Rattus norvegicus: one gene and its partner. The protein of the gene in region 1 interacts with the protein of each later gene in a pairwise test. Links are inferred from orthologs where the notes say so. Each region holds a gene or a part of one and is shown in the gene's direction. Other genes may lie near its edges.

Region 1 (3,651 bases):
GCTGCTAGCATGCTACACACTGCTCACCTTGGCAGCCTGCCCCATGCCAGGTAGACATTGTTCACACAGGGGTGGTGACTCAGAATTCCGTGACTCCGTGAGACCAAGACGGGGATCGCTCCATAAGAGTTCCTGGCATCACTACGTGGCTGGGCTTGGACACGTGGTTGCGGTTTGTCTGGCAAATATCTCCTCTCCTGCTCATAATGAACAGGCCCCTGCCAGAGAGAAGGGGAGGAGATGGTGGGGAGAGACTATTCAGAGACGAACAAGGAAGAGAAGGCTCATGGGTAAAGCAAGCACCTAACTTTTATTAAGGAAACTTTCAAAGCCTTGGCTCTACTTCCCTCACTCATGCATGTGCTTGTTTATGCACCGTTTTTATAGACAGCGTTTCATATCGTAGCACAAGGAAGCCTCAAGTTGGTGGTCATTCTCCTGCCCCAGCCTTCAGAGTGCTAGGCTCACATGAGCCAACATGTCAGGGCTCATCTTACGTACTGTGTTTGGTTTATTAAAAAAAAAAAAAAAACAGAGTAGTTTTTGTAACTGTCTCAAAGATGTCTCAGTGTTTCCTTATAAATGACTGTACTTGGAACTCCCTGGAGACTTTATAGTGAGAAGAATTGTTTTCCAATACGGCTGCTGAGTTGGGGTACATGGGTACATTGTGGGAGGCACCGTTAGAATAGGGGGCACTACCGTAGATGAAGTGTAGCCCTGTAGCCAGGTGAAATCTTAAGAGTATTGGTTCTGTCGTTGAAGCTGAAGAAAAAACCCAAAGACTCACTGGGCATCTCCATTCCAAACGTGCTCCTTCACAAAGCCCAGCTCTTGGGGCCTCCCTGGACGAAGATAAAGTCGTGATGGGGAATTAGGTAGCAACCTTTCTGTAAAAACGATTTACAGAAATGCATCATCTACCCAAAGATAGCCTGAGCAACAGGAGATGGTGTAAGAAAAGAAAAAGTGATCACCCACCCTCTAGGAAAAGAAGAAAGGCTGGAGGAGGACGGAAGGGGCGGAGAAATGTTTGGCTGGGCTGCCTACTCTATAGTTTATTAAGAAAGCACATCTGGGCAGGAGAGATGGCTGGTGGTCAAGACAGCTGCTTACGGCTCCTGTAGGGGACCCAAGTCAGGGTCCCAGCACCTGCACTGTGAGTCACAACTGCCTGCAACTCCAGTATCAGGAGACACAGCGCCCTCTTGTGATCTCTATAGGCACTGGCACATATACATGGTGTGCATAAACTCTCCTAGGCACGCACACAAACAAATAAATCAAATAAGCAAATGTTTAAGAAAAGGACACCCTTAAACTTCGTCACTCTCTTGATTCTTACTGGCTCTTTAGACTTGGGCCATAATCTGCTTTTGCAATTCCAACTAAGAGGGTCTCCTCTTAATCTTGTTGGTAATAGTGTTTTTGTTGGTGGGTGGGTTGATTGGTTGGTGAGGTTTCTCCCCCAGAGCTGATGTTTTGATTTTTTTTCCCCCTCTCTTCTCTCTCTCCTGTCCCTATCCCCCGACTCCTGCTCTCTTCTCCTTCTCAGAATCCGGAGCTGCTACTGCCAGCCTAGAGAACCCACGGGGAGATGATTCCTCATGAAGGGCCTGGATCCCCTACAGAAATCCAATGTGACTCTCTGTTTATCAGACTAAAACCAGAGCCAGCCAGACAGTGAAACAGCCACCGTGGAGGGGGGACGGCGAAAAATGAAATCTAACCAAGAGCGGAGCAATGAATGCCTGCCTCCCAAGAAACGTGAGATCCCCGCCACCAGTCGGCCCTCCGAGGAGAAGGCCACTGCTCTGCCCAGCGACAACCACTGCGTGGAGGGTGTGGCATGGCTCCCCAGCACCCCTGGCAGCCGCGGCCACGGGGGTGGGCGGCACGGGCCAGCAGGGACTTCCGGGGAACATGGTTTACAAGGAATGGGTTTACATAAAGCACTGTCCGCAGGGCTGGATTACTCCCCACCCAGTGCCCCCAGGTCGGTCCCCACAGCCAACACGCTGCCCACCGTGTACCCTCCTCCTCAGTCAGGGACGCCGGTGTCTCCTGTGCAGTACGCCCACCTATCACATACCTTCCAGTTCATTGGGTCCTCCCAGTATAGTGGGCCTTACGCGGGCTTTATCCCTTCCCAGCTGATCTCCCCACCAGGCAACCCAGTCACCAGTGCGGTGGCCTCGGCTGCAGGGGCCACCACTCCATCACAGCGCTCCCAGCTGGAGGCATATTCCACCCTGCTGGCCAACATGGGCAGTCTGAGCCAGGCACCAGGACACAAGGTTGAGCCCCCTCCGCAGCAGCACCTCGGCAGGGCTGCGGGATTAGTCAACCCGGGGTCCCCTCCACCTACCCAGCAGAACCAGTACATTCACATTTCCAGCTCTCCACAGAGCTCCGGGCGGGCAACATCTCCACCCATCCCGGTCCACCTCCATCCCCATCAGACGATGATCCCGCACACGCTCACCCTGGGGCCTTCATCCCAGGTGGTCGTGCAATACAGTGACGCCGGAGGCCACTTTGTTCCTCGAGAGTCCACCAAAAAAGCAGAAAGCAGCAGGTTGCAGCAGGCTATGCAGGCCAAGGAGGTCCTCAATGGGGAGATGGAGAAAAGCCGGAGGTATGGGGCGTCATCTTCTGTGGAGCTGAGCCTGGGGAAGACGAGCAGCAAGTCAGTGCCTCACCCCTATGAGTCCAGGCATGTGGTGGTCCACCCGAGCCCAGCAGACTACAGCAGTCGTGATACCTCCGGGGTCCGTGGATCTGTGATGGTCCTGCCCAACAGCAGCACACCCTCAGCCGACCTGGAGACACAGCAGGCCACACATCGAGAGGCCTCCCCATCCACCCTCAATGACAAGAGCGGTTTGCACCTAGGGAAGCCCGGCCACAGGTCCTACGCGCTGTCCCCACACACGGTCATTCAGACCACACACAGCGCATCAGAGCCTCTCCCGGTGGGCCTACCAGCCACGGCCTTCTATGCTGGCGCTCAACCTCCTGTCATCGGCTATCTGAGTAGCCAGCAGCAAGCAATCACCTATGCTGGTGGTCTGCCCCAGCACCTGGTGATCCCAGGTACCCAGCCCCTGCTCATCCCAGTGGGCAGCCCTGACATGGACACACCTGGGGCAGCCTCGGCCATAGTGACGTCATCGCCCCAGTTTGCTGCAGTACCTCACACGTTTGTCACCACCGCCCTGCCCAAGAGCGAGAACTTCAACCCAGAGGCTCTGGTCACCCAGGCAGCCTACCCAGCCATGGTGCAGGCCCAGATCCACCTGCCGGTGGTACAGTCCGTGGCATCCCCTGCCGCGGCATCACCCACGCTGCCGCCATATTTCATGAAAGGCTCCATCATCCAGCTGGCCAACGGGGAGCTGAAGAAGGTAGAGGATCTGAAGACAGAGGATTTCATCCAGAGTGCAGAGATTAGCAATGACCTCAAGATCGACTCCAGTACTGTGGAGAGGATCGAGGACAGCCACAGCCCCGGTGTGGCCGTGATACAATTTGCTGTTGGTGAACACCGAGCCCAGGTAACCCTCACCAGGGTCATACAGGTAGGGGGCCCCTACCCCCATTCTATCATCTCCTGAGAAGGTGATTGCTTTCGGCAGGTAGGGTTCCCAT
Region 2 (3,033 bases), on another chromosome or scaffold:
TGCTCAGACCAAGGTGTGTGAGGAATGGGGCATGGGGATGGTACTTGAAGCTGTATGAAACAGGCTTGAAGACTTTTTGAGCCTCGTGTGCCTTTGATCTGATCTGTCCCTTCTCTCAGGCCACCTTCTTGAAGCTGGCAGGCCCTCAGCTGGTGCAGATGTTTATTGGAGATGGCGCCAAGCTGGTCCGTGATGCTTTTGCCCTGGCCAAGGAGAAGGCACCATCTATTATCTTTATAGATGAGTTGGATGCCATTGGCACCAAGCGGTAAGGGAGTTCCGGGGACTTGCAAGGGTTGTTGGGGTGAGGTGTGAGCTAGGAGCTCACCTCCCAGCTATGTTACATCCCAGTTCTCTCCCATTCGGTCCCTCCCCTGGTTAGTAACACTTCTGTTTTTCTGCCTCCTAAATTCCTCATAGCTGACAGCTTGCTCTCAAGAGAGAAAACTGGCACCTCTCGTTTCAAAGTCTGTCATCACACACTACTAAAAAGCACCTCTAGGCCACCCTATTGCTTCTTAGCACAAATGCTAGATCTGTATAGCCTGTTCTTTCAGTCTCACTCTACCCACTCCCAACCCAGGCCGCCTCCCAGTACCCGATTGGTTTTCAGCTCTTTCTATTCACTGAGTGGTTGCCTGGCCCTTGTTTATAGACTCAAGAACCCCTGCTTGGGGTTGGCTGTCTGGGTTCCTGGTTGTAGATATTTCTGGGTAAGTTCTGGGGATCATGTATTGCTCAGAGCCACAGCCCTAGCCTGGCTGTTTGTGCTCACTGTTTGTCACTAGCCCAGCACTGATCCCAGAAGCCTCTGCAAGCTTTGAATGCTGCAGTTAATTATTGGTGACCCTTTCTCTGTACCAGTCCCTGGGCTGGGAGCCTCAAGTTGAGGCAACCATTTCCCTGGACAAGTTGGAATAGCCTGTGCTTATGCCGTGGTGTCACTGGCATCTCGGGCTCCTGTGCACCGCAGCTTCGACAGTGAAAAGGCAGGGGACCGAGAGGTGCAGAGGACCATGCTAGAGCTCCTGAACCAGCTGGATGGCTTCCAGCCCAACACCCAAGTGAAGGTGAGTGCAGGGCTGACTCCATCGGCTTAGGTACTGACAGCTCGGGCTCTCCTTCTCCCCGGGCTGCCTCCTGTTGCTGCTGTGATGTGTGCTTGTGTTGGATGTCCTGCTCCTCAGTTCAGGTTGCTGCTTCCCCTCTTCCTTAGGTAATTGCAGCCACTAACAGGGTGGACATCCTGGACCCTGCCCTGCTCCGCTCAGGACGCCTAGACCGCAAGATTGAGTTTCCAATGCCCAATGAGGAGGCCCGAGCCAGAATTATGCAGATCCACTCACGGAAGATGAACGTCAGGTCAGCTGCAACAGCTTTTTCAGCCTTCAATTTTCATGACTCTGTACTGTTAGTTCCCGGCCTCCGATCCCCCACCCCCATGCATGCACACAGCCTCCATTTCTGCCCATTGCCTGAGGTAGAGTTTTGCTGGGGCTCAGACCCTCCTGGGTGCTGTGGTACTCAAAGTCACCTGTGCCCCATCCTCCCATTGAAGACACATAGGCCTTCGCAGCCCAGTAGATGGACACAGCCCAAGCATGGCTTAGGAGCATGTAACCAGGACCAGATAGATGATCTGAACTCAGATCTATACAACTTTCAGCACGTGACCTGTGTTTTGTTTTTGAAAGTTGAGGATAAATCATTCCAGTTTGAGATTTAGCCATGGTGATGTCTTAGGCACAGTGCTTGGCACATGAGGGCAGATGATGGGCAGCTGCATTGTGCTGGCTGATGCATGGCTTCATCAGGAATCATACTGTCTTTTGTCTATATAACCCCATGTTCCCAGCCTCAGGCAAACCTGCTTCCTGGGATCTCAGATGCAGGGTTCTAGAAGGCTGGTTTATGTATAGATCCTATACATAGGATCTCATTTACCTTTGGCTCCTTTCTTCTCTTTATACTAGAAGAAAAGTCAGGGTGGATAAAGACTTGCCTGCCAGCAGAAGCAAGTTGATTTTATTGTTTCATGGGTGCATAGGACTCCTTCCCTTTGCTGTTCGCTCTCCATGACTAATCAAGCTCTGGTGTCTTGTCCTTTCTCCAGTCCTGATGTGAACTATGAAGAGCTGGCTCGCTGCACTGATGACTTCAATGGGGCCCAGTGCAAGGCCGTGTGTGTGGAGGCGGTGAGTGCTCAGGGTGGGTGGGTGGGCTGAGTCAAGCCTTGCCCTTTCCCTGGGTAGCTCAGGGGTGCAGGGAGGCATTCTGGATCATATCTGTCCTGGCTGCAGGGTATGATCGCACTGCGCAGGGGTGCCACGGAGCTCACTCACGAGGACTACATGGAGGGCATCCTGGAGGTGCAGGCCAAGAAGAAAGCCAACCTGCAGTACTATGCCTAGGGACACCTCTAGTCTGTCTGCTGGTCCGGGGGCTACGGTTGATAATAAAGGGGGTTTTTGTTCTTTGCCACCAGTCTCTCTCAGCCTCCGTGGACTCTGGGTGGGGGCAGAATATATGAGAAGGCCTTTTCCTCGGGAGCTACAGCCTCAAAAATCCTGTAGGTGGCCATGGGGGGTGGCTGTCTGGATAAGGCCCTATGGCAGGGAGGTGCAGGGCACAGCTGTTGCCTGAGTCCTCCCCAGTCCCTCCTCCCACAGTCTCCTTCCGTCTCTCTCCACTGTTCATTGCTATAGCTCTGACCTACTTTGAGTCAAGAAGGAAGGGCCCATTTCGCATTGGTACTCCAGTTCTTACTGTCTTCTGAAACCAACATTTAGGGTTTTAGGTTTTTTTTTTTTTAAGATTTATTTATTATATATAAGTACACTGTTGCTGTCTTCAGACACACCAGAAGAGAGCGTCAGATCTCATTACAGATGGTTGTGAGCCACCATGTGGGTTCTGGAAATTGAACTCAGGACCTCAGGAAGAGCAGTCAGTGCTCTTAACCGCTGAGCCATCTCTCCAGCCCTAGGGTTTTAGTTCTTGACTAATGCCCCAATGTCCTGGCTTTTGGACCAC

Evidence for each region.
Region 2: the proteins of Atxn1 (region 1) and Psmc3 interact in binary tests that used the Homo sapiens proteins (3 or more experiments, as listed by UniProt). The link is inferred for Rattus norvegicus from reciprocal best matches to the Homo sapiens genes ATXN1 and PSMC3.

The regions. Positions count from the first base shown.
Region 1 is NC_086035.1:19,331,748-19,335,398, forward strand, and holds part of Atxn1 (ataxin-1), read left to right. Parts: intron 1-1,555; 5' UTR 1,556-1,718; coding exon 1,719-3,557; intron 3,558-3,651. UniProt on the Homo sapiens protein: Chromatin-binding factor that repress Notch signaling in the absence of Notch intracellular domain by acting as a CBF1 corepressor. Binds to the HEY promoter and might assist, along with NCOR2, RBPJ-mediated repression. Binds RNA in vitro.
Region 2 is NC_086021.1:97,490,545-97,493,577, forward strand, and holds the end of Psmc3 (26S proteasome regulatory subunit 6A), read left to right. Parts: coding exon 1-13; intron 14-119; coding exon 120-268; intron 269-973; coding exon 974-1,070; intron 1,071-1,216; coding exon 1,217-1,362; intron 1,363-2,113; coding exon 2,114-2,195; intron 2,196-2,300; coding exon 2,301-2,411; 3' UTR 2,412-2,480; downstream 2,481-3,033.